3 linked regions of the Arabidopsis thaliana genome follow. The protein of the gene in region 3 interacts with the protein of the main gene of each other region in a pairwise test. Each region holds a gene or a part of one and is shown on either strand. Other genes may lie near its edges. The genes, in order: AT3G11580, NAC061 and BBX17.

Region 1 (4,870 bases), on a different chromosome or scaffold from region 3:
CGAAGACAAACATAAATGCATAGAAAGAATTGGGACCTAAACCCATTTTTGTCATAGCTTGTAAAAATGATTCATATTCCTTTTACACTGTCTTTGTAATGCAAAAACAAAATAGAGAATCAAAAGAAGAGTGTAAGTAACACAGCAACAAATAAAATGGTCCCTGGCTTTGGCTTTGGAAAAGAGATAAAAGGCGATGTAACACAACCTATATATTTACACACATGCTATATATGAATATGCTCTCTCTTCTTTAATCATTCGTAATTAGGCCCACACCTTTTCTTCTCGTAATCTCCTCACATGAATCTCTCAACAGTTCCCAATTCATCTTTCATCATCAAATACATGCTACATGTGTATAAGGTTTAGCCTAGGCCTAGCTCACCAATTTGGGGTACCTGCCCTCAAATGACTTTTGTGCTATAGAAAGCTTTCATTGGTTTTATTTTAGCCTTCAAATATCAACTACTATAAACCCACACTAATTCACATCTTTTGCATATACTTTTTTTTTCTGTTCTGACTCAAATGTACAATAGAAACAAAATCTCATCTTTTATTTTTATTTTCAAATTAGTTAAATACTAAATACATAACGAAGCTACTAATAATATTAATTCTTGTCCATTTTTTCTCTATGACAATTGGGCCAAGTATGGGCCCATAATCTAAATTCTAAAGTTAAAAATCTAGAAAGTTGTCACTTCTTTTTGAATGTCAGTCATCAACCTCGTCCATCTCCTACCTGCTCCAATGCTTCCCCAGCAAATGATATATTCTGTTTCACAATTCCAACACGCAATTTTATTATTTTTATTATCATCAAAAACAAATTGTACACCGAATTGTATAGAATAATATGAAAAATAAAACTATCTTTAGTATTCACTTTATTTCATTAATTTAAGTATACAAATATATAATTCTAAGCATTTCAAATTATATCTGAACATTACAAAACATGGTAATAAATTCAAAACTTATGTCATTGATAAGTTTGTAATGCTTTTAGTCAGTTTTGCTTTCCAGCTTATTAGTCAATAATTTGGTTTCACAAAAAAAACTGACGGTGCCTAACAAATTAGAATAGTAAAACCAAAATAGAGACTGTTTTCACAGGAAACTATATACTTACGGCTGATATTAATTAATGAACAAAAGGAGGCTACAGAGACAAAAGAGTAAACAAAACAAATCAAAGTAATCAAATAAAAACCAAATTGGCCATGTGGTTTTACAGTCAAGTGTATAGTATTATTCTCTCTGATTCCTCCTTTATATAATTTATTAAACATAAAAATCTCTTTCAGGTCTATTTTAAAATTACTAATTTTCATCTGTCTCGTCTCGAGAAACAGCCACGACATCTGTTTAATAATTATATCATACGTAAGCAAAAATTTGAATCTGACAAAAATGTAAAAAAAAAAAATATTTACCATGGGATGAGGAGTTGAGTAATAGTAAATGTGTTGGTCATTATAGACATCAGGACGCGGTGGTGGCTCGACGGCATCACCATGACATTCGAGGTTCACGCCAAAAAGCCTCACCGTCCTCGAGCTACCTGCGACCACCGGTGGTATCGACTGAGCATGATCAACGACGGCGCCTACAATTTTTTTCCACCGTCAAGACACGTGCGCATCTTTTAGTTAAATTGTTTTTTTAACATAGAATTAAAAGGAAGAAATAAAGGGCACGTTAGTCTAAGTGGATTGGACGGTTCTCCTCACGCGCATGTAACGGATTAGTTACAACTTGGAGAAGATTATTTGAAATTGTCGGGTCCAAAATTAAATAATAAGAATGACAAAAATAAAAGACAAAATGTTATTTCATGTTGTTATTTTATATACATTACACACGCAACTAAAATAATTGTCATATAGTTTTAGATAACTCATTTGCTTTTTATAAGAAAGATATTCCACCAGCTAACTAAAATGGTTGAGCTTTCCAAGTGCTTGCCCTAACCTTTAAAAATTCTCATATTTTGTTTATAAAACCAAATAAAGATGAATGTTCTTGTTTACTACCATATAAAGTAGGCAGATAATCTAAAATACCATGCATAAAATATTAATCTCTATTACTTTTTTTAAGAGAACATGTAAATATGCAATACAAATTACGAATCATCTATTTTTATGAAAAAGACAAATCTTAAAAGAGAACAGAGAGGAGTATAAATCTGACATATAGATAAGAGAGAAAGAAAAAACAAAAGAGGAAATAAAGGGTTTGAATTTACCATAGTGTGAATACTCTTGGTGAATATTAGGGTAAGTAGTTGACGCGTGTACTTGACGATAAGGTGTAGTCAAGCCGCTCCAATACGCCGTCGTATTAACTAGAGCTTCTTGAGACACAACGGAGACAGCGGGAGAGGAAGAAGCTTCACCGCGTCTCCGCCAGCCAATGAAGAGTCTATGGAGATCAAAACGGTGACGTTGAAAGAAAACAACGTCGCCTGCGTCGAGGTGTTTGTCTTTGACGTACCTGCTCCATCCTTTGGTCAACACGTAGCTTTGGCTACTGTTCCAATAAGAGTATCTGAATTTCCAACACTTGCCTGACTCATCCTCGAAGCTAAGAAGCATCCCTTTCTCCGTCGTCGCCACGTCATCTCCGCTGCCGCCATTATTATTATTATTATTGAGAGGGAAGTATTTCTCGGCGTGTTGTTTTGGTATGACTAAGCGGTTTAGCTTTCCGACGTCGCTTGGTGTGAGTGATTTCTCGAACAAAGACTCTCGTTGTGCTATAGCTACGTCGTTTTGGTGGTGATGATGCAACGAGAGAGTGTTGTGGTAATGGTTGACTGACATCTTTTTTTTTGGTTTCTTGGAGTGAGAGAGAGAGAGAGGATTTGCAGGTGTTGGTTTGGTGGTGAAAGAGAGATGGGTAATGGTACTAATATAGTATTATACAAAGGAGAGAGACAGAGAGTGAAAAAAATTGAAAATGGTTAAATTGATGTGAAAACTGTGGGAACTATTTGATGAGGAGAGGACGACACGATACCGATAGTACTTTTAAGGTTTTGCGTGATGATATTTCCTTTCAATCATTATTTTTATTTTTTTCTCTTCTTTTCTATATTGTTGTTGCAGTCCATAATCCATATATATTTAAAAATGTGGTATTGTTTTTTTTTTTCTCGTCTGATAAAATCTTGTCCTAAACGGCATTGGATCCACGAGTGTTCTATAGTTATAGTGTAAAAAAAGAGTAAGCCACACAAAACGCCGCGACGTAACCCTTTAATTAAAGTTGAAAAGGTTTTGATCATGTAGAAGAAGAATATGTAATTATTTATATATTAGTAAAATTTGATGTCTTGGAATGTTATAAGTTCAACATATGTTATTTCAGCATTGCCGGAACTAAATTCGAAATCCTCCGGAGAAAAGATGATTTGTGTTTTCTTAATTAAAAAAGTTTCAGTATTCACCGGATATGACGTATTGATTAGCAAGATTCTATAGACTGTCAAAGCAGATAAACCTTACATATCAAGCAGCCATAAATATGTGGATTGCGTAAGTCAAACAATCCTTTATCATGGACTCATGTGGTTTGCAATTACTTGATCAGATCCTCATTGGTTTCTGAAGGATTAAATTTCTCTCATAAATGGTTATTTGATCATTTACTCTTGTATGAATTTTCAGCTGAGAATCTTACTAACTGCCATTAATTTATTTGCAAGACAAAGATAGTCGTTTTGTTTTTCTCAACCATTTGGTTCGTGGAATTGATGTGTCAGTATCTTTTGTCTATAAACGTAAAAATAATCTTTTGACAATTAAATTTTGTTAAAGTAGGATAAGAAATTAACTAGAGATAACACCTTCCTATGATATTTAGTTTGTAAATGAATCTATGAGAAATTGAAAACGAAAACAAAAACAAAAAGAGAAGGTAATGAAGAAATAATGAAGGATTAAAGATCAAACGGTTGAGAAGTGAGGTGGTACATATTACGCAAAAGTAAGAAGGTACAGAGGATACTTATCCCTGACGCAAGTGAGAAGCTCAAGTTGTGTAGCATGTGCTTTGCCTTTCCGACACACCATCGCATGCATCTTCACTTCTACTTCATACCATCCCTTATGTTCCTCTCTCTCTTTCTCTTTCTCTTTATCTACATTTTATTCTCTCTTTTTCTTTTCCTAATCATTTTATAATCGAGAGGGATAAAGACTTCAAGATTTATTTGTGAAATCGACTTGACCTTTTGGCACTCTTTCTCTTTTTTTCCTTTACAATATTGAACAACGTAACCATCCTATACTTCGACGCTATTTAATGCTCATCAAGCTGTGATATTTGACCAAACATATAAGTCATGAATCTAGATGAGAAATTGAGAACAGTGTGAAACATTTGATCAATTGTAGAAGAAAAAGTTCTAACTAATATATCTATGGATCGCAAGTCAACAAGTAAACAAACATTTTGGTCTAGCTAGATGCTTGAGTAAATGTTGTTTTCTTGTTTGATGGGTAAATTTCCATCTGTAGTTATTACCGTGCATCTTAAGTCGTGAGTTTCGTATATAATTCTGTGAATATAAGTAATATAACATACCAAGTCTACCACAAAAATCAATGGGACGTGCAAATGGTTACGTGAGTGGTCCTCTTCTATTTTATTTGACGAATTTCTCAAGTATCGTTAATTTTATTTAATATCTTTATCACTTGTTAATTATAGGATCATGAAATATCTGTCACGTGCTTTCAGGAATATCATTGGTGCTTACACGTTTCTATTTTTCCTAATTTTCTCGCAAAACTAAGACTAGTGATACTATTTCATATTTGTTTTCATGAACCATTTCCTCTAAGAAATGGTTCCT
Region 2 (4,463 bases), on a different chromosome or scaffold from region 3:
ATTTACTACACAAGCATGAAACCTTAAAAATTTTCAACCAATAAATATTTATACAACTAAATTTATTGTATACATATAAAGTACACAAGTATGAGGTCTTGTGGACCAATTAGTCTTAACGTTCACTGCTCGTGGAATGTTTGACACTTGCACTTAAGTTATTGGGGTTTCTTTTTTCTTTCTTTCGATACCATTTAGTTATTTTTTTAATTCACTACTTGTACGGTATCACCTGTTAATTGAAACTTTTCAACCGATTTATTATCTTTTGTTCACTCTTGGATTAATGTTCAGAAGACCGCACCAACACTTATATCTCACCTTGCCTTGTCTCTTGACTTCTTGGTTCATACTTCCTTCCAAAACTTGTCTTGTTCGTGGAAGCCTTTTGGCACAAAGTTATGTCGATTTTTGTTGTTGTTATGGTCCACTCCAACAATAAATCTGTTAAATAAGAAATATTTTTGACAATATAAATTAAATAACAAGATATTTTTACAATAGCTTTTTTTTTATTAATGGTGTCAATTTGGATTTGGAGCTCATAGGGCCTAATCCATTTACCAAGAACTATTGAATTTTTCTATTAAAAAATAGTTGTTCATACAGAAATTTGGTTAACCACATTCTCTTGAACTCTATAAGACTAAAATTAAATCATAGAACTCTAAATTCGGACACTAACCCTTAAAACTTAAAAAATCTTAAAACCGAAAGTAAAAACTATGAATTATTTATTCGATTTGAAAAGATTATTATATTGGCATCAGTTTATTATTTCTACACAATATTATTCTTATATTTTACTTCACACTAAAAATCATTGATTAATCAACTACTATTCAATTCAGGCATATTTAAATTATTCGAATAATGTCTTCAACTCTCAAATTTTTTTAATTCTGAATAGGTATGTGGATAATCATGCATGTTTGTATCACACAATACATATTTTGGTTTGCCTATTATTTTTCTCGTAGACTTGTTTAATATGCGACATGATAAAACAATTGTGTCGCATAAAACAATTAACAATCTCTTTCTCTATAAAAGGCGAAAGAAATTTCTTAAACCATAAATTTGAGACTAATAGCTGATTTCAAACAAAGAAACGTCATAGCTGATGTAAAAAAACAGTACCTCCACATCCCAATGTGTCAATGTGATACCCCGCCTAACGACTCCGTACAACTAAAATGGTAGTAGTATTAATTTCCTTTAATGTTTTTTTTAGCTTAAGTAGCTTCGGCGGATTGTATTAATCCACAACATCTAAAACTAAATGCCACTAGAATGGATGATTTATGCTTTGAACTTCAATAATATATATAGCTCATCCAAACCTAAAATGTAGTAGACCAAATGATCGAAATTCAGCAAAAATCACTTGAAGATGATTTTACCTCGTTTCAAATTGTAAAATGTAAGATCAAATATATGCAATATTGATATTTACTTTACTTCATTTATCCATATATTTTTAGTAAAAAAAAACTGTAAAATCAAATATATTTATATGATTTATTATTTTCTACGTTTCTACGAAAAACAGACATTCATTGAGGTAACAAAAAAATAGGAGGATATAATAAAGAATATTAGAAGAAGACTAGTAAGAATAAACCTTGACTTATTCAATGATAAAGTACGTGGTTTGTGAAAAGCACTCACTGTCTCACGTATAGATGATAGAAATGGCACGAAATTATCACAAAGATGGGCCCGTGTCCAATTCCCCAACAAAATATGAAAAGACAAGTAATAATACATGAACAAAAAACTAAAGTCCAAACGCGTAAAACTTTTCTCATTTCACTCGGAGAAAACTAATCTCTACTTGCACCTATTTAAACTCATCATGAGTCCATGTGGTTTCACTTTATTCAAGAAGCAAATTTGTAACACACCAAAAAATGGGAGAAGAGCTTTCTGTAGGGTTTCGGTTCTATCCGACCGAAGTAGAGCTCCTTACGTATTACCTAAGAATCCAGCTTGGTGGAGGAAATGCCACCATTCATAGTCTCATACCGATCCTCGATGTGTTTAGCGTTGAGCCTACTCAGCTTCCAAGTACGTATGCAATCATTAGCTATATAAATAATGTCGATGATATATTTGTCGTATATATGTGTAGTCTTTCACTGTAGAGTTTTCCTTCTTGCGTTTCTTGAGTAGAGTAACGTGACTAACGTTATCTTGAGATTGTATGCATGAGATTTAGGTTTGTGTTTCTTGATTTCGTGGTTAATTATAAGTTACAAAAAAAAACTTTACAAACAATCACATTTCTAAAATTAAACAATTTCATTTTCGACAAAGTTTAACTTTACATGTAATTAAGGAAAACGTATACACATAAACTGAGGATTTACACAAAAAAAATTGAGAGGTGTGTTATTGGTTTGTGTGTTTTTTTGTTTGTAGATCTTGCGGGAGAGAGGTGTCGAGGAGATGCAGAACAATGGATTTTCTTTGTGCCAAGACAAGAGCGTGAAGCTAGAGGAGGCAGACCAAGTAGGACCACTGGTTCAGGATACTGGAAAGCAACTGGTTCACCTGGACCCGTGTTCTCGCCGGATAACCGAGTGATCGGAGTAAAGAAGACGATGGTTTTCTATACCGGAAAAGCACCTACTGGGAGAAAGACAAAGTGGAAGATGAATGAATATAAAGCAGTTGAAACAGCCAGTGTATCTACCATCCCAAAGGTGCATAATCACTTCTTTAAAATGAAGACTTTCATCAAATAATTTTTCTCAAATATACCAAATTCTATTTGTGGGATTCCAATATAAAAATAACTGATGTCTCAACACCTTTTTGGACAAGCATGTGCAGTGAACTAGCAGAATAATCTTTAATACAATTATTACAAACAGAGATTATTAAAAACGAATCACCCTTTGATTCATGTCAAAAATCTTTATCATGGTTATTTTATATCTCACATATATAATCTTGTCTTACATATATCGTTGTTTTCAAAAGTTATATATGTGGTAAAAGAGTGTGCGAAAAATTACATGTGTTTTTAAGTATTTGAAACTATCCAATTAAATATCATGCATACATAAATGATAAAAACCAAAATATTCATGCATGCATTCTTTTGTCTATTGGTTATATATTAGAGTTATAGAATTTCTACCATCCCTATTAGGGATTCCCTAAGATGCATAATGTTATAATATCTAAGTTACTGATAATATTTTAGTAAAACAATAGTTAAGCTTTCATTATCAAAACAGGTTCTAACGAAGTTTGTTCCTATTCAATATAGTTGAGGCCCGAATTCAGTATCTGTCGAATCTACATAAAGTCAGGAAGCTCGAGAGCCTTTGACAGACGTCCCACAGAAGCTTATGCGATAGAGAGAAATCTTCCTAGCAATGGAGTTGAGACATCATCTCGTGCCACAATATCAACCTCACCAGAAACTTCACATTCAGGAGGAAACCAAGTTGATTTACCGGTGAATGCTACTACTATTACACAAAGCATCTCAGATATGGTTGATGAGCTATCGCAACCTTTTTGGGAGTGGGAACAAATGAATTGGTCTTAAACGTATTAATTTACTTCTTATGTTCATTTGTTACTAAATATACAATAGAAGATAAGAAAAAAAAAGAACAAGTCGTCAGATTTGTGGCAACTTTTGTTCTTTTCAGTCGCCAACTAGTAGTATATGACCACGACATTTTTAAGCCTAACCTGATTATTAGGCTAAGCTTGAAGATTCATTATTTTTCACGCAAGTCTTTTTTCCTTTATTTTCATGTGTACCTTTTTTTTTTTTTTTGCTTTTTGTTTTGAATGAGTAGAGAATTTTTGAAAGGTTAGTTCTACTTGATCATGGAAGATATTTAGATTACTTTGCATGTATTATTCTTAAAAAAAAAAAAAAAATCGATAGAAATTAGCTTCAATCAATTAGATCAGTCTCACATTCAATATAAATCCGCCGACACTTATTGCACTTTCTTTATTTCCATTTTAGTATTGTATGTGTGATCATTTTAACTCTCACCATCTGTTTTAGAGGTGTTCTTATATATATAGAGATGTGATCTCTCATTAGATCGACACAAAAAGACAAGGATGACTGAATGAGTATAAGCATCTCAACCGGGTCATGTCTTTGATCACGTTGAAGCTCTTTGTTAGTCGTTCAAACTTCTGTCCACGAAATAAAAACTGTAAAACAATTCTTAGATTTTTTTTCATTATGTTTGCAATATAGAAAGAACACATGAGACAAGAAAACATTTTTTTTTAAATTAATTTATTGAGTGAGGTGTACATATTTTGAAATATGGCTTATGCTTTATCGATGGTGCAAATTACTCTTACAAAAAATAAGGTCAAGTGCTTAGGGATGTCAGTTAGGTTGTCCACGTCTAATTCGTTTTTCTGGAAATTAATGATTAAAGTTTTATTGAAAATTCTATGTAAACTGATTG
Region 3 (4,209 bases):
CTTCACGGTGAGTTTTTTTCCCGGCGTTCTCTCTCACACTGGTGAAAATGCTTAGATTGAAATTCTTAGGGTTTCGTGTTTTTTTCCTTAGCCTTTGAATTTTGAATTCAGTTACTCTTTAGTGTGTTTGATTGAATTTGATTTGAATTTGATGTAGAGTGGTCTCAAAATTCTTCATGAATACCTTTGTGAAATTGATTCTTCCTTTAGATATATGTATTGAATTTTTTTTGTTTGTATTGATTTTGTCAAACCAGGTCCTAAGCCAGTAGCTGTTGAAGAAGCTGAATGATGTTGTGTGCGTGATTGATCTTTGGTAAGTAACTGGTGTTGATTAGTTATATAGTGTGTATTGCTTAGAAGAGGAGAAAGGTTAGACTTTCTAGCATGCTTTGTGTAGACACTATCTTATAACTGGACATGTTATGTGAATCTGTTTGTGGTAGGAGAAAATTGGAATATGGATGTTTGGATAGTTATATGTATGAACTGATCAGGTCTTAGAGTGACTTAGTTTTGCGGAAGTTGTGGATACACTGGTTAATTATTGATATCAATCTGACTGCAATCACAAAGGTTAAAGCTTAGTCATGGACTTTCTTCGGTGGTTTTAGAAACAGGACATGTTTTGGAATGTATAGAAATGAAATTGATAGATCTTGGAGTGACTCAATTTTGGAGACATATGGGCCGATATTATAGATACCAATCCGCTTGCAATTGCGTCCATCTTTAATCTGCAACAGAGCTAAACCTAGTCACAGAATTTCATTGATGAATTAATTATTTGAGATATGAGATGTTGTGGACTGTATGAAGAAGGATAGAGCTCCAACATTTAGGTTTTGATTGGTTTAAACAATAGTTCCAATAGGGTTAAGGCATATAGTCAAAATCTCAAGTTCAAATTGGATTGATGATTTTTGTATTTGGTTCAAAGATTTTAAAGGTTTTTTCTTGCTCCAATGACACAGGTGAGTGAGAGCTTTGATTACCATACATGAATGGAGTCTCTGTTGCAAGTTAATGCTCCACATCAAGGTTGTTACTTGATTTATGCTTTTCTGTTTCGTAAAACATATATTACTAATTGGACTTGGGAGTTCCAATTGGTTAAGCTCAGCTTCGTTTTTCAAATGATTTATATATATTTTTGGCTTGTTGTACATTGCGTCCCTGTTTGTCGAAATAATGAAATTCCCAAGTACCTTTTTGCATGCTTGCAACTTAGTATATGTTTTTAAGACTTTATCTGATAAAACTAAGAAAGAGTTAACTCTAAAAACATCATACTTTCCCTTTATTTCAAAACTGTAGGAACATCTTTACTTCTTTAGTGTTGTCTAAATGGATTCATTTCTGAAATAGTTCATGAAATTTTTATTAACCTTTAAGTAGTAGTTCAAACATCTACGGAGTCTATTACCATATGTTAAATGGTGACAAAGACAGGTAAGGACCACAGACAAAATGAGTCAGAAAACAAAAGACTAACAAACAAAAAGATAAAACTTAGAGATGGGTAAGGAAAAGAAGCCATAAAAGACCCAAAAACATAATCCAAGTCTAACCAATAAGATCGCAAAGATATGGATCAACTTCGGTACATGATGCCAAATCATCACTACAGTGTCTTTTTTCCTTGTACAACCCAACCAAAAATGGGTATGGCCAAACTTCAATAATACACCAAGTGTTTACTCATCTCAAATTTTACTACCTTTTCTTAAGACTAATCTACTCTATATAAGTATGTTCACTAACCCTTAATGTTAAGATTCAAGAATATTAAACATGTATAGAACAAGACTCAAGGAAACTTGAGCTAAAAAGTCATTTCTAGTCCCTACTGACATAAGAAAGAAGTGTCAGTGAAAAAATCTTCTAGATTCTAAAGGAAAATGTCTTTGTCTGATCCCAACGAAAAAGATTATTATATACCTACCTAAGCAGGCTCCTTTGTCAGTGCCCATTATTCTCCATCCCTCTTAGCCCTTGTCTTCTTCATTGTCCCCTTTTTCTCACTTTAAGATCTTTCTTGTTCTTAGCCCATGACAAGTCACCAAAATATCAAAATTTCAGAAAGTATATAACCATTACTCTACTGTTTCCTGATAAACCTCCTTTTGTGCCAGTTTCTTCTTCTACTTTGATTTCTTCTCATATCTCTGTTTTCATGTTTTGCGCAGAAATTATGATTTCAAAGTACCAAGAAGATGTCAAGCAGCCACGAGCTTGCGAACTTTGTCTGAACAAACACGCAGTTTGGTACTGTGCCTCCGATGATGCTTTCTTGTGCCATGTTTGTGATGAATCAGTGCATTCTGCAAACCATGTAGCGACAAAACACGAGAGAGTTTGTCTTAGAACAAACGAGATATCGAATGATGTGCGTGGGGGAACAACATTAACCTCGGTTTGGCACAGCGGGTTTCGAAGAAAAGCAAGAACTCCTAGATCTCGGTATGAGAAAAAGCCACAACAAAAGATAGATGATGAGAGAAGAAGGGAAGATCCTCGTGTTCCCGAGATTGGAGGCGAAGTGATGTTTTTCATACCAGAAGCAAATGATGATGATATGACTTCTCTTGTGCCAGAGTTTGAGGGATTCACAGAGATGGGATTCTTCTTGAGCAACCACAATGGTACTGAAGAAACAACGAAACAATTCAACTTTGAAGAAGAAGCTGACACAATGGAGGATCTATATTACAATGGAGAAGAAGAAGATAAAACTGATGGAGCTGAAGCATGTCCTGGACAATATTTGATGAGCTGCAAGAAAGATTACGACAATGTCATAACGGTTTCAGAAAAGACAGAAGAAATTGAAGATTGTTATGAGAATAATGCAAGGCATAGACTGAATTACGAAAATGTTATAGCAGCTTGGGATAAACAAGAATCTCCTAGAGATGTAAAAAACAACACAAGTAGCTTCCAGCTAGTTCCTCCAGTAAGCGCCTAATCTTCCGAGTTCTTACAAAAATGATATTATATTGTTTCAAATTGAGAAAATTGAACCCAATCTATCAAAGAAACTTATTGTAATGGTTGTTGATTGCAGGGGATAGAGGAGAAGAGAGTAAGAAGTGAGAGAGAAGCTAGAGTTTGGAGATACAGAGATAAAAGGAAGAATCGTTTGTTCGAGAAGAAGATAAGGTACGAGGTTAGAAAGGTTAACGCCGACAAAAGGCCGAGAATGAAAGGTCGATTTGTCCGACGATCTTTAGCCATCGACTCTTAGGGAACAGATTCTCTCAGTTTCTTCTCCTTTGTGCCAAATAAAAAAAAGGCTACTCCAAAGAAACCAGAAGCTAATCAAAAGAACAAAAAAGCTCATGTGGAACATATTTCGTAGCTTTTGAATTTATCCCTACAATGACATGGTTACAACTTTATTCTTAAATCAATTTGAGAATTTAAATTTCATACTAGTAAAAGCTTCTCTTATGAGGTAAATCTCTTTATATAAGCAGTTAGTTACAAAAACCAAAACGAATTACAAACAACTTGTAACTCAAAGATTTGTAGTTTTGTACTAATACCGTTGGCCGTGTCAAGAAAGTATTCATAAAAACTTATCGATCCAATCAGTAGTACCATTAAACCAACTAAAATCATCATCCTCTGGATCTCCTAATAATCCAAGATCATCCATAGGAAAATCTTCTAACTTAAAATCATCTATCAACGGATCAAAATCAAGTAAATCATCGACGAATAAGTCCCCATTGGTCGATACGATTTTGGCATGTTGATTAACTTTAGTGTGATCCCCAATCTTAAATCCAAATGTTTTCTCCTTTCCTACTCTATCATTCTCCACAAAATCAAACTTGAAATCATCTACAATGGAAATAAATTCCACTGAATTGTAATCCACCCAAATATCATTTGCTTCAACAGCCGAATCACCAAAAATATCAGCAATTGACGATGTCATCAACGGATCTTCCAACATTTTACTAATCACTCCCTCTTCTTCATGATCAGCGTTATAACCACAACCAAATGGCTTCTGATCAGTAACAATTCTCTTATTTACCTTTTTGCAATTCGACTTCTCAGTAACTTCCTTCTCTTCTGGTTTACGTACACCGCACGGCTTGGTCAAATCTACTAGGTCTTTTTCCTGTTTAACTAAACCCAATCGTTCATCAAACTCTCTTTTACTCTTTTGGTAAGCTTCTGCTGCTTCTTCTTCAG

The links.
Region 1: the proteins of BBX17 (region 3) and AT3G11580 interact in a two-hybrid assay, tested with the Arabidopsis thaliana proteins (one large-scale study listed by BioGRID).
Region 2: the proteins of BBX17 (region 3) and NAC061 interact in a two-hybrid assay, tested with the Arabidopsis thaliana proteins (one large-scale study listed by BioGRID).

What each region holds. Positions count from the first base shown.
Region 1 is NC_003074.8:3,648,438-3,653,307, forward strand, and holds AT3G11580 (AP2/B3-like transcriptional factor family protein), read right to left. Parts: upstream 3,053-4,870; 5' UTR 2,835-3,052; coding exon 2,258-2,834; coding exon of another isoform or gene 2,142-2,257; exon of another isoform or gene 1,616-2,141; coding exon 1,077-1,615; 3' UTR 782-1,076; coding exon of another isoform or gene 728-781; 3' UTR 523-727; downstream 1-522.
Region 2 is NC_003074.8:16,021,938-16,026,400, reverse strand, and holds NAC061 (NAC domain containing protein 61), read left to right. Parts: upstream 1-1,881; 5' UTR 1,882-1,913; coding exon 1,914-2,070; intron 2,071-2,424; coding exon 2,425-2,708; coding exon of another isoform or gene 2,709-2,750; exon of another isoform or gene 2,751-2,939; intron 2,940-3,280; coding exon 3,281-3,565; 3' UTR 3,566-3,826; downstream 3,827-4,463.
Region 3 is NC_003070.9:18,173,779-18,177,987, reverse strand, and holds BBX17 (B-box type zinc finger protein with CCT domain-containing protein), read left to right. Parts: upstream 1-1,598; 5' UTR 1,599-2,051; coding exon 2,052-2,085; exon of another isoform or gene 2,086-2,176; coding exon of another isoform or gene 2,177-2,189; coding exon 2,190-2,956; intron 2,957-3,067; coding exon 3,068-3,247; 3' UTR 3,248-3,571; downstream 3,572-4,209. Other genes in the region: AT1G49140 (NADH dehydrogenase ubiquinone 1 beta subcomplex subunit 10-B-like protein (Complex I subunit NDUFS6)), read left to right, coding at 1-7, 258-292; CRF9 (Integrase-type DNA-binding superfamily protein), read right to left, coding at 3,572-4,209.